Drosophila melanogaster: one gene and its partners. The protein of the gene in region 1 interacts with the protein of each later gene in a pairwise test. Each region holds a gene or a part of one and is shown on either strand. Other genes may lie near its edges.

Region 1 (5,456 bases):
CGTCCGATTTTCCGTTCTACGTCACGGTTTCTTAATATTCATATGTTCATTCAATGGCGACATCAGAGCAACGTGTCCCATTGCAATATGATATGGCCTACGTGACGTCTGCTACAACGTGCGGCGATCAATTGACCAATTTGGGGAATTGTACTTTATTGTAATTATTGTATGGCTACTTTTGAATGAATATAGGTAACTTAAAATTCACTCATGTGTGAACGCAAAATCGATTTTGACCACGTTACATCAAACTAATCAGACTATTTTAGTAATTCTTAAAAGTTTATTCATCATGCTTGAAAAATAGTCTAAGCCTTCATCGTTTTACAAGTGACCTTAGGCCAATCCGGATCTTGAAAGATAGTTTTATCTTAAAGATAGTTTACTGAAAATATATCCAGATGCTAGATTCAGGCAAATGCACCAAACCGATGGGAACCTCAAGAATCGTCGTCTAAAACAAGACACGATACAAGTAATTAAACAATTGCACTCCAATTGATACACACGCTCATTAATTAAATTAAATTGTGAAGGAGCAACAAACAATGCACGCGAATGCGATGACTGATGTGAGAAGTCCGCACTGAAAGAAAAGCCATCTGAGTACTTACATACTGCTTCTAATATTTTTAAAAATCGTATTAAACAATGCCAATGCCCTTCTGAAAACTTTCGAAAATGATATTTTTTCTGATATGAATGGAGACCATTGTTTCTCGCAATGTTTCTCTGTGCACCACGAGGAGTACAATCAATCAGACCAATTAGTTTTAATGGCCCATTGCCCAGCGGAGTCAGCAATTAAAGCCAGTTCTCGGCCAATGCAATTGAGCTCCTTTTGCCGCAGTATTCCTAGTGCGATTTGGGGAAAGCTATTAAGCTTTTAATTGGCTCCCGAATTTTGTTAAAATATATACACATACTATTAGTCACCATTTTGGCCATCATTTTCGGCGGATTTTTTTTTTTAGCTGTCGTTGACCTTGGTTTGTATGCATCAACGATCTTCAAACGTGCTACTCCCGAAAATTGATCAAACAATTCAACAGCTGTTCGCGTGTGCTAATCGAAATTTAACGGCTTGTCAACAATGCGGCTTCTGTTCGGACTCAGTTAATATTATTGTATAAAGGTTTATAACCTTTTTAATAAATTCGTAGTCCAAATAACCTTTTCATATGTTGCTGGTCTAGAATTGAATCATCAAAATGATCTGCGCTTTAGGTAGAGATTACCAAAGTTCCAATCAAACGCTTATTCATTAAGTGAATTTCTAGTTGATTTTTGTTGAAGTAACATCTATATTAACATTTTTAAGTCTAATTTCATGCATTTTTACGATTCAGGCAACACTGTTTTAACAAGCAAGTAAGAAAGCAATAATTTAGTTATTTGCTAATAATGGCATACAACCGGAAGAATAGAAATGTTTACAACCAGACCGCCTTAAGAAAACACAAATGAGTGATTGACAGAAATGGGCTGTTACCCATCTGCCTTTGCAGCAAACAATGAAAAACTGTGCCTTTCTTCTCTGAGTTTCGGCTGTCCGGAGATCACTTTCGAAATATTGGCACAAGTGGTGTCCTGAAATATTCGAAATCGGAGCCCACATCCTAGCCAAACCGGAACCTCCCGCTGAAAGGATTGAGTAAAACAATGGATCGGTTTTCCAGAATCAGCTGGCAGCTGTAATTTCCGCACGTGACTATCATATAGTTGAATGAGAATATGTTCGAATCCATATGGATTCCGCTTCTTAGCAGCTGGTTTTTCGATGATAAACGCATTTGAAAACCAAAATAATATATTCAGAGCGATTTCCGGTTCCGTTATGTGTGTTGAAAAATTAGATGATTTCGACTTTTATATTGCAATTGATCTTTGTACCGGAAACATGTTTTATTACTTTCGAATTGAATTTTATGGTTTCTACAAAAATGTATATTAGTTTTATTACTGCGCCTTTTGTACGATTTGAATAGTTGCATAGCTTGACTTCCACAGTAGTCATATTTAATTTAATAAGAAGCATATCCTATATACTTTATTTATGTTCCTATCCTTAAACTATCAAATGTGCATTTCAATGGGAATCGATCCATCTGTGGACACCAGTAGATCGCTGCCACAAGACGTTATTAACTCGCTCGCCGAAGAGATAGTAAATGAATCCGAGGACCATGATAAGGACAAAGAAAATTACTCTCAGCTGCCAGGCGATGCCGCCCAGAAAGGGATACACCCAGATGTCGGTCCGGAACCAAACGATATGTATCCACACCAGATATCCCAACATGAAGGCACCCAGTCCAGTGAATCCTCGACTGCGTTTCGGATATTGATGTCGTGTAATACCCAACTCCACAAAGGCATAGATTACGACGAAGGTGTGCATGGTGTGGTTCAGCCAATTGGGATAGACCAGGTCCAAAAGCACCGGATATATCACTTCCCGATCGATGGCGAAGAGTGTCCAAAAGGTGAGACCCACCGTAAGGGCCAGAGGTACGGCAAAGGTGGCGAAGATGTAGTCTCGCAGCTTCCTTAGAGATCTCAATCGGAGGAGGTCAAAGGTCAGCGCCAGTGTATAGTACCCCAACTGCAAAAGGCCGCACAGAAACGTCATGTACTTAAACTTGCCACCAATCGGTGGCTCCAGGCGCAGGGTCACCGCCACTTGTGGCAACTGGGCATACCGACAGTCAAAGTAAATGGCATAGCCCAGGTGAACGGTGGCCGACAGGTGGAAAAACAGGCGAGCCCTGTTCGACAAATTAAGTCGCTCCATTTCCGGATAGATACTAACGCATTTGTCGATGGAGCTATGCTAATGTGGTGCAAATCGATCCGGCATAGGGAAATAGCCTATGACCGAAACGGATTCGCTAGAATAGTGATGCAAAATAAGCTCTAATTTTTACCAAGTTGGGTGAGAAAGTTTAAATAGGTTCCATTGAAACAAATAAATAACAATTTCAACCATGTTTCTAGTTTTGTAATCTACTCAAACAACTATTTGAAGGAAACACATAAATACCGTATCTAAAACTTATAGATAAATGTGAGTTTGGATATACAACGTATCAATTTCATCGTTAGTTTAATTATTGACCCACTGCGGAACCGAAAGGTAAAAGGCGATGAGTATTGACTCAAATGGAAATGGGGAGTTTGCCGTTAAAACTACAGGGGTGCGACCTTGGACACAGCTGATTCGTTTGGTCAGAGGTCCTTCAATTTCAGGACCAGATGTTGCGATGAAAATGAAGAGGAAGGGTCCACCAACCGCAGGCAATCAAATGGATGTGTGTTCCGTAAATATTTGTTTGTTTTCCTTTGTCGGCCGTGCAGATCTCAGTGGATAATTAGTCAGGCCCATCACCACCATATGTCCGACGAAAACCATTCGTAAATAGTTAAATTACCTTTTTGCCAAATTCGATTCAGCCATCTGACGGCGAAAGCGAGAATAGGTAAAACTATTTGTTTAACAGTGACCTGATAATTATTAGTTATATTTAACAAATATTAGTAAATAATTATAAATATACATTATATCTCGGAATACTGAATCAACTAGGAAGCCCAAAATTATATCTTATTAGCAGTGCAAAATAAAAGTAAAAATTTCAAGGACTTTTAGCTGGGTTTTTTTTAGTTTTTTAATAAATCCAGCTCACTTATCGATAAAAACTAGCTCTTAAGTAAGTCGACATCTGTTTGATTAGTAAGTCTTTGCTGTTCGAATTTGAGTCTATTAGTTAAATAGTGGTCTGTTACTATTTATAAATTCAATTTAAGCGTCTGTCCATGGTGATAACCAAATGGATTTAAAAACGAAAGGAGTCGCAAAAACTCAGTGCCGTGACGCAAATTTGGATATTCGAATGCCTGCGAAATATACATATGTATATACTATATAAGAACGATGTGTGCCCATACAATTATGATCCGCACTGCCCAGACTAATTGGAGCAATGTTGTTAATTTTTTAAAACCGTTGTCGGACACGTTTCGCTACGGTCATTGCGACAGAGTTATTTAAATATAGGCAGACATTTCTGGCCGATATTTTCGCACATAAAAACGGGTGTACAATATTTGGCAGTCAAATAAATGTATCAATCCCTTTAGGACCGAATGTTGCAGACTGTTTAGTTAGCACTTGTATGAACTCTGAGTTTGTAGGTGTATTGAGTGTAATTACACTATAAATAATCTATTGAGTTTTATCACTTTGTTTAATATAAGAATAAGAAAACCATGTTTAAATCAACTTAAGTTGGTTAATTAATTTTACAGACACATTTTTATTTTCGTATAAAAAACACACTATATATATTTCAAGGACGTATACATACTCCACATATTCCACTCTAGATTTTAAAGGTTATCAAGCATGTTCTTAGAAACTTTCAAAGGGAATACCTAAAGAAATTGTTAAAGTTCCTTATTTTGTTTCCCCTCACAGTTTCAGTTTCGTACATAATTAATGTTGGATCATCTTTTCACTGTTCACAAGCTTTGTAAACACTAAATCCAAAGCATTTGCCGCCTCTATTGAAATTTCCAAAGCCAGCCAAAAACTGCCGCATAATATATGTACGTACATTTAGCTCAGCGACTTTGAGATTCAAATTCTGGAAGCAAAGTTCACCCAACCCTTTTCTGGTCGCCAAGAATTTTCTCTAATGACTTAAACGCGGTAACCACTAAAACATTTACAGCGCATACGGTCCTGTTGTTCACTTCTCACCACCAAGGTAAAAACCACGATGCCCCATAACAACCCAACCACCCATTTTCCATTCCCCTTCGGCACTTAAATGTAAAGAGTCGCATTTTTGCGCAAATTTTCCCCGAAACCGCAAGTAGAAAACTCATTAGACGCAAAACGTTTTGGCGGAAAAGTAGGCTGGGAAATTACACGATGGCTGCTATGCCATCGGTTGTGGGAGCAACTTGGCTGATCCACTTGTATGGCCAAACACACTTATGCTTGAGAAAATGTACATATATGTCGAATATAAAGGATGATTAATATTTAAACTACAAATAAAAGAAAGAAAGATGTGACAAAACTTACTTCCACTCGTTTAGTGTCTGCAGCAGATAACTAAAATATAACAAACATGTGCATATGTTCATTATAATACTTTTCATACAATCATCGGAAAATATACATTTTATTGGATAACTTGATGTGTTTTTTGAATTTTCCTCTTCGTTTACCTTTTCCTCATGTTTCATAAAAACCCCACCTACGATTTTTGTTGTGTGTGTATTTTGCAAATTTGTATCTTTTAAGAGAGCTCACGGTAATATTTGAATTGCGTGAACCTGTGTTTGCTTTTCAGTTGTATGATGTTGGGTTTTGATCGGGAAGGCAAATGCTTTCCAGACTGTGGGATTTGCCGACTACATAGACACGTGTGTTGCCAAATAAA
Region 2 (7,622 bases), on another chromosome or scaffold:
GCCTTGCCTTCTGGCAAGGGCAGTCTACCCTCGTGCATGGGCTCAAGTTCGATGCTGGCCACGCCCACTCCGGCCTCGGCATCGCCAGCGGGAATCTCATCGGAGCATTCATCGGAAAGATCGCTGTACGGGAGCCACAACTCCTGCATCCATATGCCAGGAGCTCTGCCGTTGGGCTTGGGCCTTCCTCAGAGTTCAGCCTCCACGCCCACGCCGAATCCTACGCCTCCGCCAAATGGCGGTGGTGTCACGTTCCTGGACAAGCGTTCACCCATACACTTTCGCGAAGGAAGACGGGCGAGTGATGGCCTGGTGGCCCAGGGCCTGCTTAGCTCTGGTTCCTTGCTGGGCACCAGTCGTGTGTACGGAAGTTATCGCTACGAGCAGGCCAAGCGTCACGGTTGGCTGGAGATCCAGCAGCTGCAGCAGCTGCAGCAGGAGGCGGCTGTGGGGCATTCACACCCACATGCCCATCAACATCCGCATCAGCATCCGCATCCTCATCCCCAAGCGTACGGCTTGGAAGAACTCTGTCAATTTCCAAATGGTCAATTCTATGCTCTGCCGGGCAAGCATCATCCGCTGCTGACTTTGCCCCATCATCATGCGCATCCTGCGCAGCATCACCATGGCCATCATTCGCTGTTCCATTCAGGCCACCAAGCCACACCTCTGCTCCTGGAAGCCGCTGCTGGTGGGGATATGTATGGTCATGGATGCTATGCTCCGCCACCGCCGCCACCAGGGCTATACACGCACCATCAGTTGGGCGTGGGTATGGCCGTGCCCATGTCCCCGATGCAAAAGCCACCGCTGCAGCAGCAGCTACTGCAGCACCGCCTGCTTCAGCAGAAGCGTCAGTTGTTCCAGAAGCAGTACGCACTGGAGGCGCAGCTAGCCGGTCGACATCACCACCATCAGCAGCACAGCCATCACCACCATCACCACTTTGGCCACAGCCTGGGTCCGCCACCGCCGCCGGCTCCGGCTCCGGAACATCACCTGGCCGACGAGTTGTACGAGTTGGCCTTGCTTGATCGGCCCAGGAGCGGAACTCCTAGGCTTCAGCACTCCATGACCATGCCCGGAGCTCATGCCTTCAGTCAGATGAACCTCAAGACTTCCTACATCAGCCAATCGGACCAGGTGCCTGGTGCGGCGCCTAATGGAGCTGGTTCCGGAGGATCAGCTGCTGGGGTATCATGCTCAGCTCCACCGTCCACGGCGCCGGGTACGCCCACGGTCAAGTGCAAGCCTACCACGCCCCACGGTCACAGCCTGGACTCCGACTATCATGTAAGTAAGCTAGATAACGCATATTAAGATGATTTCTCAGGCATCCCAAGTTCGTATATAAACCTTATCCGTTTTCTCCTTGTGTCCTCCGCAGACATCGACGCCGGTGCTCAGCCTTTTCACGCCCAATTGGCAGTCGCTGGTAAAGCCGCTCAGCGAGAGCCCCATCCTGGAGATATCGGAGCACCTTGAGTCAGTCTGAGGCCGTGTGTGATGTTATTCGGTGGAGGGGTTGGGGCAATTCGAATGGGAGTAGATTTGTAAGTGGAAGTCGGTGGGAAAGGAAAAGGGGTAGGACTGGACATCGAACTATAATGGGGGCTGGACCGGGACCGGGGCCACCTTTTTATTAAGCTCGCAATCGCAATTATGAATTATTTGATCCATATACGATATACACCCATACATACATATAAATAGCCTATATAGATATGAATGCGGGTCGGAATCGGAATCGGAGTTACATCGATTCACGTTTATTGGAACCGATAGAATCATTACCGAACCGGGCGAAGCAGTAATATTGAATGATTTAGTTGTGTTACTAGTCTTAAGTAGTCCAAGTTTCGTACGCATATACGCAGACATATACAATATGTATATTGATAATAATAGCGTTAAGCTATAGCTCTACTTATGATTACACTATACACTATTGTATTGCCCCCACGACAGTGGACGAGAACAACGTAACTACATATATCAATTATTCGAAGCATTTATTGGGGGCATAGAAAGGGCGTATCCATATAAGGATATATCTATTATGTATTGGTACAATAATTAGCGACAAGCAAAGAAAAAAAAAACAAAATTTAAACAAACATCGATTGTTCTTAAACATGGAATTCAAATGTAAACCAGATATTAAAGTCATTTGGTATAAAATGCAATATACTTCTGGAGTTCCTACATTATATAGATATAGATATAGATATATATGGGTGATCTGTGTTTTCGTGTGTGCGTGGAAGGGACGACCGGCCGGATCATGTGACTAGAAATCTTTTTTGGAGGCACTATAATCACCAGGGGATCAAGGAATTTTTTCTTACCGCAGATCATTCAACATGACATTTGGGTACTTCTCCCATCGTATTACTACCATATGGCACACATATATCATATCCCGCTAGGACGGAGGACGATGAAGGTGTTAAGGCATCTGTCGGAGTCACGTCGTGGCCTTCACCTGCCGATTGGACTCCAGGTGCTTTCGCTTTGCATTGGCCTGATTCCGCTGCTTCTGGGTATCTGGAGAGCCATGGCAGCGCAGCAAGTTCCAGTAAGCTCTTCGGTATTCGGAGCTCATCAACACGTAGATCAGCGGGTTGATGCAGGTGGTCAAGTAGATAAGTAGATAGCCAGCAATGTTGAACCAGTGCACCTCGGTGGCGCTTTTCCATATTTTGGCCACCGTGATGGGCAAATAACAAATTACAAACCACACGAAGATTACCAGTATCATCTTAAGCAATCTCCGGTCCTTGGCACTCATCCTTCCCGGGTAAATAGAGGATGCATTTGAGGTATTGCCCATGGAGGCGTAGTGGGATTTCCGCGGGCTAAACCGTGTGAAGGAGGTGGTGCGCAGGGATGTAGTGATAGGGTTCTTTCTGGAATGGATTTACGCATTAAGGTTGAGTGAAATGGCAAAGAAGCCTTCAACAGCTACTCACCCATGGGTTTTGCCCATCTCTAGTTGCGTTTGACTGCGTCCCAGGCTGACCTTTTCCTGATCCCGATCCCTTTCCTTCTCCCGCTCCTTGAGCACCACATTGGCATCAACAGGCGGTGGCTGCTGGTCCTGATCCCTCCTCCGTATGCTGTACGAGATCGGCAGACTGTCCGTCGAAGCATTGTCATCGATATACGCTAAGTTTTCCTCCACCACAAAGGGTCGTCCTGCGATCGGTTCGTTCGCCTCGCCGCTGGACGTGGTCACCTTCTCCGGCTTCTTTGGTGTGGCCATGGCTTGAATCTGATGCTGCGGCGCGGAGCTGGGAGTCACATCGCTGACATTGGTCTTGCCAGCGGTTCCCGCGCGAATGGCCGCCTTTCGCACCAGCAGGAAGATTCGGGCATAACAGATCACGATGCAGATGCACGGCACCATGAAGGCGGCGATGAAGAGGAACTCCTTGGGGGATCTACCATACCGATCATGCATGATGGAACACGAGCCGATGCTGACGTCCAAGCCAAAGATACCCCATACGCCCCGCCAGGTGGGTATCATTATGGAAAACGTGGTGATCCATGTGCCGGCTACCATCAAAGCCAAATATCGTCGCTGGTAAATTCTGGAAGAACGGATTTGAACCAGTGGGAATTGTATTTTGTACCATGTCTAATTTGATAATAATATATGCTCATTGTATTCAAATATATTATTTTAAGATATCCGTAGCTCACGAAAATAAAAACTAGCTAGTTATTTATTTCTCCAGAAATATTGTAGTTCATATTTTATAAGATATTAATTTCCGTTCAGTTTAATTGTTTATTACGAAAATATTGAGATCGCTGAACCGACCTTTTCTATAGCATTTGCCTCTAGCAAGTAATGTTCTCTTTTTTAGTTAATTAAAAAACATCTACGAGAAGCCATACATTTTCCTTTTTATAAACAAGTTCAAAAGTTTATAAGTTCAGAAACACAATAACATATGTGTGGGTTTTTTTCTCAGATTAAGTGGTAGGTTACCATGCGTATCATAATAAACAGATAAGCACCAAGAGGAAGAGTTGGGCACTCTGAATACCCTTCAAGATTTAGGCAGGACATGCCGATATGGGCAGGCCCATTCTCACCTTGGATACTGCCTGGGATGGGCGATAATGATGTACCGGTTGATGGTGATCAGCGACACGGAGAGCAGGGACACCGCCAGCAAGCCGTAGCGCAGCATCGGAAACAACCTGCACAGCAGATCACTATGGGTCCACGCCCGCTCCTTGAAAGTGGACGCGGCCAATGGCAGATTAAAGCAGCCAAAGAGTAGATCCGAGCAGGACAAATTGATTATGAATATGGCCGTGGAGTTGCGGGTTTGACGACCTCGCGACAGGGCCACTATGGTCAGTAAATTTCCGGGAACGCCCACAATGATGAACACTATGCAGGCCACCCAGGCGATGGTCAGCAGCTCGTCCGAATAGCCCTCGAAGAGCACCTGGCGCCTGTCGTCTACATTGAGATTAAGATTCATATTCAGATTGAGGTCCACGTCCACGTCCAGGTCCAGGCTGTCGGAAAGGGGTACCGGCAACACCGCGTCCTGATCCGCCATGTGATCAGTAGCATAGGGATCCGAAAGAGGCAGCGCTATCGAGATCGGATGCGGAGTTGGTCCGGATTTTGGTGGGAACATCGCGCGGCACTTTGTGTTCGGCAAAAGACGCGTTGCTCGTTCCTGCGCCGAATTTGTACTAAAACTGAATTCTCCGCATCCATACACCGACATGGTTCCCACCCAAAAAGTGGGCCCGAAGGCAGTCGCCGCCAGCCAAGCGTACAAAATATTGAGAAAAAAAAAAAAAACAGCAGGCGAACTAGAAAAACTTTCAAAAAGGAAAACAAAAGAATCTCAGAGCAGCAACAGCAGCAACAACACACATTTTTATTGTATACAACAATTGACTTCATCATCGGGTAATTTGGTAATTTGCGTGTGGAATGGGCGCTTTGTTTACATTGTTCCTATTCGGTGTTGTTTCTTAACCGCCCTTCCCGCCCCATTCCGCCCCAATCCACTCGACTCTTTCGCTCTTTCGTCGATATTCTGACGGGGTCATGTTGCTGTTGTTGCCGTTTTTCAAAGTTTCAGATACTAGACCAGGGATACCATTGCCCAAAATGGTTCGACGTTTTAGCTACATACTTGAGCATTCCGACAGCCAGAACATACATACTTGCATTAGACTAGTCTTTGCATCAGTCTGGTGGAATATAAGTCATGAGCAGCATGGGGAAAGTTATCTGCATTGCTAACACAATTCAAGACTTATCACTTGCAATGAAGTAAGAAGTTCCCCTCCTTAATTGATACCTTGACCGATACGTCTTGGATGCTTAAAAAATTCGGTGTGCCAGAGGTTACATGAATATATTGGGAATACAATGAATAAGCTCCTACAGATGAATCGAGTCTATTCGTAGCCCTGATTTCGGGCCATACGCACCTCTCCGGCATTTTTGAAATGAAAAACTTTTCGGTTCCTGGGTCGTGTGCATGTGTGTGTGTGTTTGTGTGTGTGGTTGCATAGTTTCCTCTGGCAATTTTCTGGATAATAAATGGGCGGCATCCATTCGAAGCGAGGAACTGAAAAAAAAAGCAAAACTTTTGCGAGAGGGACTCATTCGAATAAATATGCCTATAGATCGAATTTGTGCGTAGAATGAATACTCCAGTCATGGGCGATTAATCCTGAATCATAACTCGAGACTATGCGTTTTTCACGCTCTCATAACCCGTTTCGAATAATGAGTCAAACCCCGGAAGCCTGGTGTCACACGACGTCAGCGTACATATGTAGTCTTAATTAATCAAGCCAATATGCCGGGGGAAACCTCTCTACTTTTCCGAGGGTCAGAGTGCGGGTCGTCTGTTGGGTCGAATTGAGTATTGTTTGCCTTTTGAAAAGAAAAACAGGCGGTTCTAGGGAAAACTCTTTGGCAACGGCACGAATACGAATACGTTGTTTGTTTTCATGCAGGCCAATAGTCCGGGAATTGCAGCCGACTACCCAAGAAAATAACATTCAGTTCTTGAGGAAATTAATATAATTATAGCGCCATATCGCATTCACTTAAATGACGAGAAATTTTTAAGTTTAAGATCCTAGGAACTGGATGGAATACAATACGTGATAACGAAACATATGGCTCATCCTCGTACTTGCGAAAACATGCGTTTTCATAAAACAATACAAGGCTTTATCGAGCTTAATCTAAACGTATAATCCCATCATTTTTTAAGAAATTAAAAGTGCACTATCCTTGCGCCCACCACTGTACTTGGAAATGCCTGCGGGATGGGCATAAAAGTGGAAACTAAGACCTCCCCCCCCCCCCCACTCATCAACCATTCTTGATATGATTGTGAATACGATTCGAACGCCAATCGACGCCCGCTTCGGATTCGAATTCGGATCCAGAGATCCAGACTAATGTAAACTTCTCCGGCGTACTTACATATACGCCTATACGCATACGCACACGCACGGGCCCATGTTTAGATAGCCATAAACTATCGTGTTCTTCACACAATCCGCAGCAAACAACAAACAATGAGAGTGCGCACAAATCCCTACGTCTTCAGTTCGATATCTGCACCGAAAACATTTATTACCAGGTCACAGTTCCTAATGCGATATGTGCGGTAGCTCCAACCATCAGTTCCTTACCATGCGACAGACCGTTTTTCCCAGTGCAGCCATGTTGGATCGCCTCGATCGATGTCGAATGTCCAATTGTGTAAACATTAGAATGCAGACACATGAAGCCTTATCATTGCACATTTGCTTCAGTGGAGAGAGGAAGCAGAAGCGGCGTATCTGCGATATGCATCTGATCGATCGGCAACCATTGAGCGGCCTCCACCCACACCCGCCCCTCGGTCGGTCACCAGATGGCCGATGGCTGATCGCCGATCTCCGCCTCTCTGTCTGTCCCTGTCTGTCTTCTGCGCTGTCTCCGGCCGGCGGGCGAGAGTGCGGGAGTGCGAGCGAGCAAGAGAGCAGAAGAGAGCGCCAAGTCGTGGGGGCAGTAACAGGGGCGCGCCAAATGAGGGGAAACCTGACTAACATGGAGCGCAACTGACGTGCGTTCAGACGGAATATCTAACGAACGGAGTATACCCTCCCTCAATCAGTTCCCTACGCCACTGGCCGGCGGCGGAGAGTCATTTAGACACTAGTTGAGAGTGAGAGTAAAGAGTGAGAGGGGGCTGCCGATTGTCAACTGGCAATATCGCGACTCGCTCTACGCTGCCCGCACTCGACGAACTGCACTCGATCCGGCAGTTATAGACGATCCAATACGATCCGGCACGAGAACGCAGGCGCTACGCAATTTGTCCGTTACATTCAACCAGTACGGATAATAAACAACGAAAAGTAACTACGATTTCAGTTCGACTTGAGTGACATTCGATACGATACCGTTGAAGCAGTCGCGAGCGTGTGCCTATTTGTTAGATATTTAATTCGACTGTTCCTTTTTGTTTTTGTGATTATGTCAAGTGCTGAGTTAGGGCAACCTGTAACCCTTTTATTCTCTACCTGATCTCGCGATTCAAAAGCATTAGTCATGAAAGCTGGTG
Region 3 (9,151 bases), 5.7 Mb from region 1:
AGCTCGCGCAGCGGTTCGAAGGATTTCTTCAGGTGGTTAAAGCCATCCTTTACCTCCTGCCGTATGCGCTTGCGCTCGTTCTTAAGGTTTCTTTCCAGATCCGCCTTTGCACGCGATCGTCGCTCATTCTTTCTTTTCCGGAAGCCACTGAGAAACTCTCTGCGGGATTGGGATGTGGGCATTAGTATCCTCCGGGGATTCTGTGTCTCCTTACTTACATGCGTTTCTTGTTGTCGAATACAACCTCTGTTTTTTTCTTAGGAGCCTTTTTCCTGGTCATTTTCAAAAATTGTGCTACTCGTTTTTGTTTACGTTTTCAACATGTGCGAGCGGCCAGTGTTACCAGATGGGCAAAATACTTTTCCCCGAAACGAAAGGTACGTTAGAATTCAAAAATGTTTTAAAAAAAATTTTTATAGTTATACGTTTCTTGGTTTTTACCTTTAATTTGTTGTTATCATATGTCATAGATGGCATTCAGTGCAGGTTTCAATTTCAATAAGTTTTTTATTTTTAAACTTTTCAAATCGCTTTTCGTATATATATCACATGATTATATGTTCAAGTTCAACAAGTTCTTCTAAAGAAGCATTAACATTACACAATCGTAAGACTATATCTAGGGAACTTCGTACAACACTACGGTCTAGAACTAATCAAAATACAATTAACGATATATTCTGTTGCCATATGTATCTGGTATTCGTTTCGTAACTGATATATATTGGGTTTATCATAAATTCATTCGGTTTACGTTGCTCGCTGGCACCGTACTCACTCACTCGTCGTCATATTCCAGGACGAAGAGCTTTTTGCGTCGGAACGATGAGGTGTCCAGGACCTTGGCGGAAGATAGGGCGGAACACGGACTCTCGAAATCGTGTACATGAACGTACCTGCCCATTGAATCAACACTGAAAGCGGATGGGTTATGTGCGCTAGTCCATGAGCTAATCGATTAAGGGTACTTACTTATTCTTTAGCAAATCCAGACGGGATTTGCCTTGGTTTGTGTTCAATGGCGTGGAATTTATTACGTTGGGGCTACCCTGATTGGAGAGGTCCAGCGGGTCCTCGCCGGAAAGGAAGTCGGAGGCATAGCAGTCACGATTGGCAATGGGTGTGGATCCTACCAGCTGGAACTCCACCTGAGGCACCAGAGGCACTCCCTTTGACGAAGGCGAGGAGGGCACTATGTTAATATTGGGCTGTGAGGCCGTTATGGGCTTGCATAGATGCAGGACCTCCAGGAAGTATAGAAGGTAACGAAAGGCGGCTGTTTTCCAATTGCACATTCTTCCCCAAACGGCGCGGCGAGATCGCCTAAAACTACGCGACTGCAAGTTGTCAAGGGTTAAGATTGATTCTCAAAGATGTGCTTGGGAATGCTTACCAGCATGCTGAAGTTCATCAGCGACTTGCGCTTCTTTTGCAGGTACTGCAGCTTGGGATGTGAGAGTAGCTGCTCGGCCGTCGGCCTCTGCGCAGGATCGGGCTTCATCATGGACTTAATTACCGACTGCAGCTCCAGTGATATTTCTGTGCGAAGAGAAAGGCTTTAGCAACCTGCCATTTAAGTAGGCAGCTAGTTCGCAACTCACTGTTTATGAACTCCTCGGGCAGAATGCCGTGCCTCAGTTCGTGCCACAGTGGGCCGTTGGAAGGAAGATCCATGTAGCATGCCAGCTCTAGCATGGCAATGCCCAGACTGAAGATGTCCGCAGCCTTGGAGAAGTGACCCTGCAGGATCTCTGGAGCCATATACCTCGAATCTCCCTCCGTGGCGTGATGGCTGTTGGCCCTGTCCACATCGATGACCAGTCCAAAGTCTGCCAGCTTGCACGTCTCGTCGTCCTCGCCGATCAGAACGTTGTCCAGTTTAATGTCCAGATGGATGAGATTCCGGTCGTGCAGCGACTTGAGACCCCGCAGCAGATCCAGCAGGATGTGCCAGATGCGCTCCTCCGGTATCCTTTGGCAGCGCAGCAAGTACTGCTCCAGACTTTCGCGGCACAGCTCCATTTGCATGTACAGTCGGTCGTACTGCTCCCAGGCGCGGATGAACCGGATGCAGTTCTCATGGCCGGAGAACTCCTCGTAGCGCCGCACCTCTTCCAGCCGCTCTGCGCGGTACTGTTCGCCGCGGAACAGTTGCTTGGAGATCTTGACGGCATATAACTGGCCGTCGGAGCGATCGCGCACCTGGAATACCTCGCCGAAGGATCCTTCGCCCAGTTTGGCCAGCCTTTCGAAGCACTGCTCGAAGTGTGACAGGGAGAGGGTGCTCAGCTCGGCCTGGACTGGTGACGAGGGCAGCGTACTGGAATCCGAACATCCGGCGTCCCGGAAGGAGATCGCGTGCGCGATCTGGGAACTGTTGGTGCTACAGGAGCCCAGCGATTGGCTTCGGTTCAGATTGTTGTTGTCCACGGCGACGTAGCCACGCGTCTTGTACTTGGGCGGCCGGAAGCGATTGCTGTTCTCCCCATTGCACTGTTTGTGTCTGTGTTTGTCGTCGTGCAATTCCGGGAGGGGCAGGCGATGATGCTTTTCCATTTTCAATTTTGGGTGTCTTTTCTTATGAGTGGGCGAGTGTGACCATATCGGACAGCCGGCGAAATCCTGGCTTCTTCGCTTGGGACAATAAGAGCCGGCTAATTCATTTAACACATGTATCTTATATTTTTGATCTTTATTGGGAGTATAATTATTGATTTCAATTAAGTTAAGCTCCTATAATCGTATACAGATTTTACATGATTTGCCTCTTAAATGCCTCAATTATCGTAAATAGAGATGGGAGAGTTGAGTAGTTGGAAGAACAATAGAAATACTGAAATATTTTTAAAAACTTTAATCTAATCTAATTGTCTTTATGAATATAGGTAAATAAGCAAATAAATTGCTAAATAGTGGAATTAAGCCTTTATATATAGGCCGCTCTTTAAAGGAGAATGGTATTTGCGAATACGATATAATTCAAAAGTGCCGCCCAACTGCGGTATTTTTTTGGAAGATTGCTATTTGCAGTATTATGCCCTTAGGTACCTGGTATATTTTAACGGTCCAGCTGCGGCCGCACTGAGTTTATGAACAACATAGAAAACAACAAATTTATTAGCAAAATGGTTAGCAGAAATATAGAAAGGTAAATACGGCGCCTAGTTACGTGAATGCAGTGGGATTACGCAACACATTCCACCTGGGTGCAGCCAAATCCCAGTTCCCAAGTGCACCTGCCCTGGTTATGCAATTTACTAGGCGGCTTCTTCATTTATCTCGTCTGCACAATGGCTTCTCTGCTTCGGTTGTTCTGAGCGCTTGATCTTGACCTTAACCTTGAGTTCCACATCAAGATAACCATGATTGATTCGTGTATTGTTGTTCTAATTGTGCAGCACGAGTAAGGTGCCCACTTTCCATGTCATCCGCGAGGTCTACGACAGCTCCAATGCCCATGAAAGATTCGAGGCTGAGCTGGACAAGGCGCTGGAAGCCAAGTTGGACTTCATCGTTATAGAGCCGCCTCGGCTGGGCGACGAAACTGGTAAGCACTTGGAAGTGCTTCCTTTTAAAGCACAGTATTAATTTCATATCTCCACAGGTCGTTGGATTTGGGTGGGCAATTGCCTGCACAAGACGGCGGTGGCCACTGGAGTGGTTTCCCTGGTGGCCAGCTTGCTGTGGCGGGATCGCCCCATCATTGCAGCTCCCGCTTGTGCACTCTCGATTTTTTGCACAGGACTGTACACGGTTTCCTGGAACTACGATCCATGTTGTCAATATCAGGTATGAAAGGAAAAGTTCTAGATATCCAAGATTGAGAAGCTCACTTTGGTTGTGTTTTTCAGGTGGAAAATAATGACACCGTGTTGGAGAAACTGCCACTGACAGATGTCTCCTCGCCTGTGATTTTGGGCTACTCGCCCAACTCAAAAACCAAATACTTGCACCGTAGCGTATCCTTGCTCTCGGCTGCCCTGTGCGCCTGGCAGATTTGGAGGTCCTACAAGTAAGGGATTTGCAGGAGCTCTGAAATGTCCAGGTGCTGGATTAGGCCTGTCCCCTGTCTCGCGGACGCGTAATACCTAATAAGTTAAGTTTAGGCACATAGGCGAATGCATTTCTTTTAGATTTTCGAACGATTTTAACACAATGTATTGTCTTTCGTGAAACTTTTAAATGTTCCCATAAACCAGTGTCCATGTCCAGTGTTCCCGTGGCTGCCACTTGCACTGGCTAGCATGCTCATAACTTATTACGGTCCCCAAGCCCAAGTTAGTCTTAAGGGAGGAGCAGCCTCTGCACTGTAAATTAAGCAAAGCCAACCTCTGTGTATAAAGCGAAACCCATTTATGATTGTTATTAGAGTCTAGTTGAAGATATCAGCAAACGAAAGTCAAGTAAACGCGATGCGAATGTTACTCCCGGCTTTAAAGTTACTCCATAGCTAAGAGAGTCTAAGAGTGAGTGCGATAAGAGACCCCTTCGAAATTCGTAGCTGATGATTTAATGGAAATGTTGTGCTTCATGCGGGCTGGTTCTCTCCCTTGTTCTCGTCTCAGTCGTTTTGTGCATTCTGCTGGCAGTGGTTGACAGCGGCGACTCCGATCGATCGAGTGGTGTGTTCCAGTGCGATCCGGTAAGGAGCTGACCCACTCACAGCACCACCTTGATGCCGAGGCTGCAGCCAGAGCGGTCTAGCCATGGACTCCAGCCACATAGCCGTGCGAGTGGGTAAGTCCGACGATAGATAAGCCCTTGTCTTGATAAGATATAGTTAAATGGGTGAGATATACGAATGCGTGCATCTCGGCTGGATATCCCAGCTCAGTTAGTGGCAAGATGCCGATCTTTGTGAGCGCCTACAGTCTGCGTGCCATCAGCAAATACTATGCCCACCAAGATCAGAGTGGCCTGGACAAACTGTGCCACTTGACTAATCATCTGGTCGCCTTTATCTTGGCTAAACTCCATAATTTGTTGTTTGCTCTATATTTCGCTACGATAGCACGTCGTAGTCCCTCGCCGGCCGCCGTCTCTCAGTCGTCGTACGGCAGCCTGGGTTCCAGCCAAGATATACACATTCGAGTGGACAAGGAAGGCGTTGCAAGCGAATCCACTCCCTTGCTGGCAGCTGCTCAGCGGTCCATCAAGACGTCCTCATCCCTCACAGCCTCAGTCTCAGCCTCCTCCACGACGCCTTCGAATTGCCGAAGGAACCCGACGCTCCACGAAGACTGCTTCAATTGGCGCTCGGTGGGACTGCTGGTCATGTGTGCATCCGCCTTGGCACTGGCCGCCTATTTGCTCTGGAGACAAAGTGAGTTTGCCCGCTGATGGTGGACGTGCACGAGTACGTGCTCAAATCGTTATTGTTACATATATGCATAATAAATAAATCTCAATTAGCTGTGAGTTATGATAAGCTGCTCATGTGCGTTTTGATGGGCAGGCGAAAGTATTCAAAGAAAAATCGATCTATACTCATAATATAATGTATCTGGCATTAAATTTGTATAGTAAAACATTTTAAAGCCATCCCTCATTTTTTTTTTTTGTTTAACTTAAGATTCGTTTTATTTTTCGTATGCATGCATATGACTCATTGTTAAATTTTTCTAAATTCGCCTTTATAGGTGGACAAAGCCACTTAATGACTGAATCACTTTGCACTGCTTGCAGCCCAAACGCCGGACTTTGGCTATCGACTCAGTATCGTGGGTCATGGCATATGGTCGGATATGGAACTTCAGGGTCGGGGAACTCTTTTCGATCCGATCGGTGTCGGCACAGTGATTTTTACCCACACTGGAAGCAATGAATGCCACGATGATTGCCCGGATGTATTGCATAAGCTGGAAGTGAGTTAATCGGACATAAGTATGTGTAGTACATTGTAATCAAAGCTAAATTCATTCATCTCCTTAGAGGTCGCATGTGGGGGAGCTGCCCTACAACTTTCTGGTCGCCGGTGATTGTCAGGTTTTCGAGGCACAAGGATGGCACTATCGGAGCCAGTATCCAAGGGATCTAAATGGAATAGACTCGTTGGTGATGGCCTTTGTGGGTAACTTCAGCGGCAGACCACCCATCGATTGCCAGTTGATGGCCGCCCAGGCTCTGATCCTTGAGTCTTTAAAGCGTCGGATTCTGCAGCCAATTTACCAACTCTTCGTGTTGGGCAGCTATACGGACGCACTGCAGCGGGAACTGAGGCACTGGCCGCACTACGCGAGCCACCAAACGTCCAAGTGAAGCAACAAAGAGATGATTCCAAATTATTCCTCTCGTTTATTGTACGCCAAACACAAACACAGTATACAAAGAAGCGCAGGATGAGTAAAGCGGTTGCCACCGATAAGCGAATCAGGGATCCCCAGGATCGGGCGCTGGCCAGGATCGGGGGACCGGCGAAGCGTTGCGCATTGGGTTAATTGATTGGATGTTGCCTAAGACTAAGGACTATAAACTTAAACTACAACTGGCGATCGGTTAGTCGAACTCCAGTTTCCGAAAGCTACCCTCGATGGACTCGATTTGTGAAACGAAGTTGGGTCCGCCGGTGGAGGCCTTTCCGGCATTGAAGCTGCTGCGCCGCTGGATGCCGCGATCGGAGCGCAGTATGCTCTTGTCCAGACCGAGAATCAGGTCGCGCTTGGTCGCCAGCTCCTGCTTCCACAGCTCGATCATCTCGCGCATGGGCACCTTGCCACCCATTTCCAGCGGCAGACAGCCCTGGTCCACGCTCTTCATCAGCTCCTTCTCGCTGCCGTAGATGATCAGGCGGTTCTTCATCTTGGAACTGACGCGGTTCTTCACGAAATCAATAAGCCACTTGAGTGTGGATGGTACATTGATCAGGTGGATCTCCTTGTGACGCATGGGCAGCGATTGCTCACCCCACTTGAAGATGCGGGCAAACTCCGTGGGATTCCAGTTGGTCACATGCGCCGTGGTCACGCCGGCGAAGTCGCCCACATGCGTTAGCCCAGTGATCTGTGTTTCCTGATCCTCCATCAAGCACTCGTAGGTGAGGAAGTGCGCCTTGGCCTGGTCGCAGCTTGTGTGGATCTTCGGATTTAGCCCCTTGGCATTGATGACCACCACGCGGCGACCGTGCTTGTCACGCTGTGGCACCGCAAATATGTATCCCTGATCGATGAGGTCGCCGAGACGCGGCTCCAGATAGTCCAGCTGGGTGCTCATGTGCGGGAACGTCCTCCTGATGTTCAGGTACTTGAGCAGCGTCTGCTCGGCCATCGGCACACTGAACTTCTTGGCGCGCAGGAAGCGCAGCAGGAAGGTATCGTCGCATCGCACATTCTGCAGATCCTCGTTCTTGGCCACCCAGTTGCGCAGCTGCTCCAGCGACTGCTCCCGCGTGCATCGATCCTCGCGCAGCTCCCGCTTGGCGATCTTCAGCAGCGCCTCTGGCAGGCCTGTCGTCTCCCCCTGATCCTGCACCATATTCTGCTTTCCTTCTTCGCTGGAAGATCTGCGATTCGTTGGTTCTGCTCTGTGGTCACGCGATTGGCATGGACTGCGGTCACTACAAAGAATGATAAGAAGTCCACGGATTAGTCGGGTTTTTTCTCAAATCCACATTGTATGATTAATATTTATACTATATATATGTATATGTTCTTAAAGAGATTGAATTTACTTACTTACATACTTGTAAAATATATAATTAAATTAAATAAGAACAACTTTTCATCTTGACTTACATAGAAAGCTTCAATATACTGAATCTACAACCAAGTTAGGCTCCAACTTCTTTATAAAAAGTGACGAATATCAAGTTTGAAGCCTTTGCTTTAATCAAAACAAAAAAACTCACTAGGCAAACGACGAAACTTATTGTTTAATAATTCTGCATATATGTATTTATCAATGAGATTTATTAGTGGTCTTCCCATTGAAATTGGTTCAAGGTCCCAGTGATCTCAAGGCGAACGCCACCGGATCACGGATCGTTGTAATTTGCAAATATTTGCTAATTAAAACTCGCGTATGAGACGCGTTTTTGTTAAAACAGAGCTGCGAAAGCGACGAAATAAAAAAAAAAACTTATAATTTATTCACTTCTTTGTTGTTAGGGGAACCATAAAGCGACCACCAAATGCCATTATGGTCGCATATAAAACATGTATGGATGGCAAAAAGACTGAAAAAGAAACCAGGCGAATTGGTTCAAGTTCAAAACTGTTTACTGAAAGCGGGTCAAAAAGAAATATATGTATGTATGTATGTCTGTATGTTCGTAATTAGCCAGTACCAGAAAGAGTTTCACTGTTTGAGCATCCGAGCATCATTCATTGCATAACAATAAAGAGCGTGGAAAGCAAAGAAAAGTATGTGGAAAGCGACCGAAACAATGCCACTGTTTGACTTTTGCAGATAAACAAAGTGCAAACATGGATTTATATCAATATTTGCACACAATTTGTGATCCGAGCTGCGGATGGATTTGATTGTTTTATGGCCCTTTGTCTGCGCACTTTGAATCCCCCAGCCAGATAATCGAGATCGAAATCCGTTTTCCCATGACTTCGACCCATTTGCATATGTACATACATATGTACATATATACATACATATCTCTTGGGTTCGAATGTTGCGAACTCTGTGCCATTTAATTGATTCGATTTTGGTCCAAAATTTGCATTCGATTTTGCTTATTTTTTGTTTAGCTTTTTTTTTCCTTTTGTCGGCTTTTCAATTTTCGTTTTGTCGGTTTTCCCCCCGCTCCCCCCGGAAATGCGATTTCAAAATGTCATTGGGCAATGCGCCCGTTGGATCCCGCTTGCCATCTCTTTCGTCCGCCAGCTACCCCTGTCTCTCTCTCTCTCACTCTCCCGCTCTTCCACAAGTTTCAACATGTTTATTAGGAGCTCGTTGTGGCTTGCGTGGCTTTTGTGTGGCCAACTGAACAGGCCAATAATGCAACAGGCGGTGCAATCGTGGCTTATTTGGTAATTGTTATTCCACAGGCTCCTTTATTCTCCGCGTTGATTGATTTTCGAAAAGGTTTCAGGCTAATCATGTTTGGTTTTTCAAAGCCAGCACACAATTGCAAATCCATTTTTGATCAAAAGGGTTAATTGGATTTTGATACATTTTGATACATTTTGATTGCTTTTTGATT
Region 4 (7,639 bases), on another chromosome or scaffold:
ATGTGCTAACCAAGCTTTTTGCTTAGATTATTTTTGGCATATGTTTCGTATGAGTAATTTTCTATGCATATTTTGACATCATTACATATCGTCTTAAAGCAAAGTTTTCTGAAAAAATTAATCAAACTAAAACAGTATCCATATTAATTGATAAAGTAGGATTTTCTATTTTCGTTTTATTTGGGTCACGATCATTGCTAATTGACGATATTGACCACTTGCAACAGCAGATTGAAATTTTCAATACACTAGTGCACGCACACAGATATCTACATAAACATTTGCTGCTCACTTTGGATGTGAATATGGTTTATTTACAAATAATATACTCATATATAAATAGTCTGGGCAAATCGCGCATACTGGCACAGAAATGAAAATAATCTTGTTTACGTTGTGTATAAGAAAGTCATGATTGATTAAAGGAAAGTTATTATGACCTTACATCTCAATCGAGCATAATAGTTATTGTAATTTATTTAAAGAGCTAAGAGTTGTATATATTTAATTAATTATAATTAATTGTTCCCCCCAGCGAGAAGTACTCCTACCGTGGCATGATCACCTTCTGCATTCCCAGAGGGCAGATTAAGTGGTCCGCGATCTTCGAGTACATGGAGAACTTGAAGGATGAGATGCAGATATTGTACTACTCGGTCAGCCATACAACTTTCCAGGATGTGTTCATGAAGTTTGTGAGGAAGCAGAATCAATAGAACCATAAATCTTCCCCAATGAATCACTTCAATGAATGCTATCCAAACGAAACCCTTATCGTATCAGCGAAACTATCTGTGAAAGCTTTGCTTCCGAATGCTAACAAATCGCCCAAATCATCTGTTGGCGTTGCAAAAATGAAGGCTAAACAATCATCAGTCGCCAAATTGATACTCTTATATGTAAATCTGTATGGTTATTATATTTTATGACGTTGCTAATGAATACAAATAAATGCCTTAAGATTCTTGTTGGTTAACATAAATATTGTTAAAAATAGTAAATCGCACACTAAGTTAGAGTAAACAAAAATCGGTTATGGCGTAACTATGTTATCCACCGCTTTTGGTCTCCTCTTTCGCCAGAACATTAGCCAAAAATGTGTGTCATGCGAGTCTATTCGTACTTTGAACTCCCAATCCGTTCTGAAAACTTTCCATGAGCAAGACGAGCGTGGTCTGGGTTTATTAATGATGTTTCGACAAATCTATCAATTGGCATTTGTTTACAGGCGAACCCATATTCACATGCTGACCCATGGCTTCTCCAATTTTAAGCAATTTGCTGTCTCCGACCCGCAATTAGACTTTGTTCCCGCATGGCGCAATAGTCAATTGGCAAAGGTAAACGCTTGAAAGTTATGGCATTCGTTCCGAAATAGATTCCTCATCGAGTGAGCAATGTTGGGAGAGCCTCGCATAACCTTGGTAGCTGATAGCGTACGAATTTGCTTATCGCAGGAAGTATTCGACAAATCGTGATTTCTGAAAAACACCCATGAGCCAACCGAAGTAATTATTTCAATCCAAGCTGCAGCTGGGGATTGCAAGTATCATGTTTCCGCAGCAAATAAAAAAAAAGGCAATCACATTTTGTAGAACAGATTTCTTTAATGATCAGCAGTTTGGCTTTTACAAATACACATAACTTTCACTGCTCCGAGTTATTGTTCAATGGTTGATTGCGACACGACACGAGTATATAATTAGTCTATAGTATATTTGTGTACATATAGTAGAGGTATATAAGTAAACAGAATTCACACTGTGGCGCAATGTAATGCTTTAAGAGCCATGTAGTAACTATTTATAGGCGGTGCTCACTGTAGTGTATTATTGTAATGTTATTATGTTATCTATGTATGCAAATATCGAGTAACTAAGAGGTATGAATATAAATATCCCATTAAAATTAGATGTACTACTAAATCAATAATTTATGTGGGGCATTGTGGCTGCCAATGCTCAACATGGGAAAGTAGTCGGCCAACTCGCTTTTAGGCTCCAAATTGATTATTGTCCCTCTGTAAAAGTTCATTGAGGTAGACTCCTACTTTTGATACGTTCTTGTAAAAAACATTTGACTATTCTTAAGAGGCCTCTTAATGATGCGCTTGTGAACATTTGCAACACGACTAATAACTACTAATTATCGTTGTTTACGTGTATATGGAAGACTCTGTTTTGGTCGCTCTGTATGCCAGTTTCGTTCACACAGGTATACAAAAAGGTCACATAGTTATGCACTTTTAGGTACGACATCCGTAACACGACTAACCAAATAGCCGACGCCTTCTGGAAATTCTTTTATATGTATGTATATATTCTACACTAAATCTAAGCCGGGCGGAACTACTGCTCAGTTAGTTTGGTGAGCGTTTCGTCCTGGGCAGTTTGGTCTTGTTCTTCTTTATGGCGTCGCCAGCGGCGGGACAGCATGGGTGCGAAGAGATCGTAGTCCAGCTGCTTCCGAGACTTGTCCAAATAGATTTCCGCGTTTTCTGCCTTTCCACAGTGAGCCAGCACAATGCTGCTGAAATAGCCGACGACCACGGCAATAAGAAAGCCGATGACGCTCAGCCACAAGTAAGAAATTCGATATAACCAGAAGTAGTCGGGTTCGATGACCACTCCGCTGCTCTTTGAGCTGAGCTCGATGGCACGCGCCATTACCGCGGTGGCATTCTCACAGCCCGCTGTGCTAAACTCCAAGGTAACTGGCTTTGGTTTGGGTCCGCCGAATCCCATCCAGAAGGAAACTATCAGGGAAACGAGGAAGCCAAGCAGCACGCCTCTTTGGTTGCTGCGTGTAGTGCAGACTCCCAGTGTGAAAATGGCCAGCAGCGGACCGCCTACCACACCGAAAATGGTAAGCGATGCCTGAAGAACTCCGCCCATGGAGCCAGCGACAAAAGCTAGACCGATGCAAAGCAGGCCAAAAATGCACGCCACAATCTTGGTGGGCATCGTGGACTTGGAGTCAATTAGCGTCCGTTTAAATATCGCCTTGTACAAGGGCTTCAGGTAATCCTCCAGTGTTACAGCCGACAGCGAGGTAACTGCCGACGAAATCGTGGAAAGACTGGCGGAGAATATTCCGGACACGAACAGACCACACAGTCCAGGATATTGACCTGCCGGAAAAAGAAATCAAATAATGCTAATTCTTATTGGATGTCTTTCCAACTCACCCATAGTCTCCAGTGCGAAAAGGGGCATGATCTGATCCCGCTTGTCGATGCGTCCCTTTAGCAAAGGGTCACAATCTCGATAATAGTAGAATATGGACAGTCCACTGAAAATGGTGCTAAAACTAAGCATTCCTAGGATGGGCAGGTTCCACCAAAGCGCCGACTGAGCGCTCTTCAAATTGCGGACACTCAGGAGTCGCTGTACTTGCGTTTGATTAACGCCATACAAGGAGAGGTAAGTGACCATGCCGCCAATGATCAGAGACCACCAAGTATGCCTCACGGTGGGATCCAATGAAAACTCAATGAAGTTCACGCGTCCTCGCTCCACAGCCACATCCCAGATGGCCGCGAATCCGCCGGCTTTAATGGCCGACACGGCAATCACGGCGTAGATGGCGGCAAACATGAGGAAGGACTGAAACACATCCGTGATGAGCACCGCCTTCAGGCCGCCAAGTGTCGAATAGAAGGTGCACACCAGTCCAATGACCACGATGGCCATTGACCGATGAATGCCGGTTACAGCTTCTAAAGCGAGCGCTGGTGCATAGAGTGCAATGCCCATGTAAAGCACCATTTGCACGGTGAAGGCCAGGGAGGCGGACAGCCGGGTGGCCTGGCCAAAGCGCCGCTCCAGATACTCGTACACACTGGTCGTCCGCATCCTGTAGAAAACAGGAAGGAAGAAGTACGCGGCAATGGGCGTACTCAGCACGTAGGCAATGTTGATCACACAGAAGATGGTACCAAATTCGTAGGACTCGTTGGAGACGCCCATCAGTGAGATGGCGGACATGAAGCTTGCCATCAGGCTGAAGGAGACCGGAAAAGTGGTCATGCTCTGGTCCGCCATCAGATACTCCTGTGTGGTCTTTTGCTTGCCGCCTGTATACCGGTAGTAGATGCCAATCAGAGCCGATATGACCAGGATGGTGATCAGCACGGCCGCATCCCAGGCGTCAAACGTTCCCACGGGCATGTTGTTGTTGACTGGATTCCGCTTGTCAGAGAACTGGAAGTTCGACGTCCGTCACTGGTCCGAATTGATTTTTCCACAAGCGTCACCACCAGCGGCGATTGGACGCTTCTCTTGCCCAGCAATGACCTTTGGCGCAGTCAACGCTTTCTAAAGTGCGCGTCCAAGTGCACGGCGAACGGCGGAAAACAAGACGCGTGCTCGCGAAATCTCCGCTCAAAAAAGAAACGTTCTTGCCGAGGCTACGACCGTTAAATAACTGATCAGCTGAGCGGTGAGTGTGCCCTTGCAGGGTGTGCGGATTAATGCTGTAATGTTTTCCAAGCACATTAAGCTTACATATTGAAAGGCCATTGAATACCCTCAACGAAAGCAACATTGCTGTGCTTTGGTCCCACTACTTTTTCCCGCTCATTGTTTTGGTTAATTTTTTGTTTTGTTTACATGCAGCGAACATGGAATCCATGGAGGTTGATGAGTCTGCTGCCCAGCTGTGAGTGCCTTTGGTATGCCTGCGTAGGAGTTATAATGTTACCCAACCACCCGCCATAGCTACGTTCGCACGCCGGAGGATGTGAAGGCCATTGTGAAGCATGCGAAACTGGACGAGCGCCAGTTGACCCAACTCACCCAGGCTCTGTACTTTCCCTCGGCGGACGTGGATTCGGACAATCTGCGCCTTCTGGAGCTCGATGGGCACATGCTTGGACAAATCCGCGACGGCCAGACGCTATATTTCAAGGGTGGCCAGAACGAGAAGCTGGTGCTGTGCACCGATGAGCGAACGTACGACGTGAAGGGCGCGGAAATATCCAATAGCCTTTTGCTGGTACCGGACCTCAAGTTTGCCGCCGCCACCAGCACCTCGCCGCTGAAGAGTCCGCGCACTGGCAACGCCAACGCCTCCCTGGAGCGCAGCCTCAATGACAGCACGGAGGATGAACTGGAAGTGCCGCGAACTCTGGAGCAGCGGCCGGTGCTCAAGGTGTTCCACGAGTACTTCGAGTGCCGCGAGATAAAGCCGCGCTTTCGCAAGCTGGGTGAACTACTGCAGCTGACTCGATATTCGGGGCCGGAGAACGAGTTCTGCGTGGAGCAGAAGCTACTCTTTACCTTTTCGCAGCTCCTGGACACGGTGCAGTGCAGCCGCGGTCAGTTCATGGAGGGATTGAACCAATATCGAGCCATAGAACTGGACGGGCGAATGCGCGTGATGGAGTACGAATACGAGTATCGCATTATTAACATGATGCTGGGTTTGATAAGCGAAAACTCCTGGGCCTTGGACGAAGTGGAACGGGAGGAGACCATCAATGCACTGAAGGGCATAGCTCCAGAGGATGTTGTGGCTGGGCTGTTTGATATCTATACCATTCCCAGTGAACGTTGCCCGGGCAAGTTTGAGTACCAGGAGTCCTTGGTCTCCCGCATTGTGGCACAGAACATTCTTCAGCCGGGTTTGCGCTTTCGCAACGAGGAGTTCATGCGCACCTGGCAGGAGGTACTGCCCGAGGGCATGTCCTGCGACTTAAAGTACCTACGAGGTCTGGGCATTTGCGACAAGGAGGGAGCGCAGCCTTGCATACGCTCCCTGGCAGAGGAGTTACTGCCCACCAATATAAGCGATCGCATGCGGGCGCTATTTAAGACTAAAAAGAGATGGACGATGGAGGAAATGGAACCGTACATAGAGTAAGTAATGATGAACACATATCTAGATTGTTTTTTTGATTTTCGGTTTTATAACTAGGTGCTTTACCACCCCAAACTTGTCCGTTTCCACACTATTGGCCAAGCACGCTCGCTCATTGACCGATGGAGGTGTGCGATACTTTGTTTCAAAGCATTGATGGAAACATCCAAGGCTATAGCTTTGTATCTCTTATTCAATAAAACAGCTTTAAGTTAGATTAGGCATTCCGTTTTCGCTTGTTGCGATCTTTTTTGGCCTGCTTCTGGTCCTCTATGGCCGCCTTCATGGTCTCCACGGCACTTTGAGTATGACTCGTGGCTAATTGGGCCGCCTCGCTGTTGGGATACTTGAAGCTGAAGCCTCTGGGGAAGATGGGTTGGGCCAGGAGAGCATTGAGCTGCGCTCTAACTGTCTCCACGCGCAGCCGATTGCGACGTCGCTCAATCACAAATGGATCCTCATCCTGGTCACTGCCACTGCAAAAGTAAGAGTTAGTCATAGACTTCATTTTAATGAGATCTTGTTAAAAAAAACTTACGATTCGTCATTGTAGCCATCAATGATCATGTCCATTTCCTCAGCGTGCTTCTTCATCCAGCCGCGCTCACTCTGCACGCGCTTCAGCTTCAGCTCCTCCTTGTCCAGATCTCGCGCCAGATTCACACGCTCGCGAACAGCTCCCATAAAACGCTCCAAAATGGGGAAAAGCGGCAGATCCTCAGCTAAAAAGTAAACGAATATGTAGAACGTCTGTCTTCCTGTTAGAAGTCTCTCACTCACTTCTCTCCAATGTTTTGTACAGCTTCACATAGCTCTTGACCTCGCCCGGCTCCATAAACATGACTGTTATGCCATGCTTATTCGCTCGTGCAGTGCGTCCCGATCGGTGTACGTAGTTCTCACTAGTGCGCGGCACTTGGTAGTGAATCACATGCTCCACATTCGGTATGTCCAGGCCACGAGCAGCCACGTCAGTGGCTATCAGCAAACCTGTCGGGCTGTCACGGAATCGCTCCAGGTTCTTCAGACGCTGCTTCTGGATCATGTTGGCATGCAGGGGCAGGGGATTGCAGTCCAGCAGGCCGAAGAGCGTGGCCAGTCGTTTTACGCAATCGATGGAATTGCAAAAAACAATGGTGCGTCCTGGATGGCGCTGAATAAAGTAGTAAAGATGATAGTCCTTGTGATCGATGGGACACAGCAGACGGCTCTCGGTCAATGTTTGTGCGGTTTCTGCAAGTGGACTTTATAAATCTGCTGTTTAGTTCATGATTAACTATGAATACTTACGCTGCGAACTGGTTATATCCACAATCTTCGGCTGGGAAATGCCCAACTCCTCAATAAGACTTTCAATTTTCTGATCCACCGTCTGTTTCACAAATTTGGGCCGCTTACCTACATTTCGCTCTGAAAGTGAAAGAGTTTTGGTTACTTAATGGAATCTCAAAAGATCCGAGTAACTTACTCTGCATGTGATCGGGAAGATCGTGGACCAACGTCAGAGTGGCCGAGTAAACAAAATTTTGGCGCTGATGCTTCTTCTGCTCGTCCGAATTGAGAACCTTGAGTAGACTGCGCAGCTCTTCGAAGTGTCCCTTCTCCACCATGCGATCCGTTTCGTCGATGACCAGGAAACTGACATCCTCGATCTTGCCCAAATGTCGATTGCCCTGGGCGTAAAGTTCCCAGAGGCGACCAGGTGTGGCCACCACGATGTCCGGGCACTGGCGAAGTACTCGTTCCTGTTTCGCAACAGCTAGACCTCCGAAGATGGCTG

The links.
Region 2: the proteins of CG6149 (region 1) and CG4313 interact in a two-hybrid assay, tested with the Drosophila melanogaster proteins (one large-scale study listed by BioGRID).
Region 3: the proteins of CG6149 (region 1) and Pmi interact in a two-hybrid assay, tested with the Drosophila melanogaster proteins (one large-scale study listed by BioGRID).
Region 4: the proteins of CG6149 (region 1) and CG10444 interact in a two-hybrid assay, tested with the Drosophila melanogaster proteins (one large-scale study listed by BioGRID).

What each region holds. Positions count from the first base shown.
Region 1 is NT_037436.4:11,432,665-11,438,120, forward strand, and holds CG6149 (uncharacterized protein), read right to left. Parts: upstream 2,813-5,456; 5' UTR 2,798-2,812; coding exon 2,093-2,797; 3' UTR 2,031-2,092; downstream 1-2,030.
Region 2 is NC_004354.4:2,049,794-2,057,415, reverse strand, and holds CG4313 (uncharacterized protein), read right to left. Parts: upstream 4,733-7,622; 5' UTR 4,671-4,732; coding exon 4,111-4,670; intron 3,600-4,110; coding exon 2,976-3,599; intron 2,913-2,975; coding exon 2,471-2,912; 3' UTR 2,002-2,470; downstream 1-2,001. Other genes in the region: Sik2 (Salt-inducible kinase 2), read left to right, coding at 1-1,296, 1,391-1,498.
Region 3 is NT_037436.4:5,776,986-5,786,136, forward strand, and holds Pmi (Pmi), read left to right. Parts: upstream 1-3,065; 5' UTR 3,066-3,125; coding exon 3,126-3,148; exon of another isoform or gene 3,149-3,398; coding exon 3,399-3,547; intron 3,548-3,602; exon of another isoform or gene 3,603-3,604; coding exon 3,605-3,789; exon of another isoform or gene 3,790-3,851; coding exon 3,852-4,012; coding exon of another isoform or gene 4,013-4,016; exon of another isoform or gene 4,017-4,565; coding exon 4,566-4,596; 3' UTR 4,597-4,706; coding exon of another isoform or gene 4,707-4,737; exon of another isoform or gene 4,738-4,845; coding exon of another isoform or gene 4,846-5,323; intron 5,324-5,639; exon of another isoform or gene 5,640-5,685; coding exon of another isoform or gene 5,686-5,864; intron 5,865-5,931; coding exon of another isoform or gene 5,932-6,258; 3' UTR 6,259-6,495; coding exon of another isoform or gene 6,496-7,470; 3' UTR 7,471-7,700; downstream 7,701-9,151. Other genes in the region: vito (viriato), read right to left, coding at 1-159, 219-280; Myt1, read right to left, coding at 779-914, 973-1,337, 1,394-1,539, 1,602-2,556; PGRP-LD (peptidoglycan recognition protein LD), read left to right, coding at 4,846-5,323, 5,686-5,864, 5,932-6,258; Cralbp (cellular retinaldehyde binding protein), read right to left, coding at 6,496-7,470. UniProt on the Drosophila melanogaster protein: Plays a role in mitochondrial morphogenesis.
Region 4 is NT_033778.4:20,270,070-20,277,708, forward strand, and holds CG10444 (uncharacterized protein), read right to left. Parts: upstream 4,431-7,639; 5' UTR 4,170-4,430; coding exon 3,188-4,169; intron 3,131-3,187; coding exon 2,349-3,130; 3' UTR 1,584-2,348; downstream 1-1,583. Other genes in the region: CG8908 (uncharacterized protein), read left to right, coding at 536-716; CG11788 (uncharacterized protein), read left to right, coding at 4,622-4,659, 4,719-5,858, 5,917-6,016; CG9143 (uncharacterized protein), read right to left, coding at 6,077-6,335, 6,398-6,581, 6,640-7,092, 7,150-7,269, 7,328-7,639.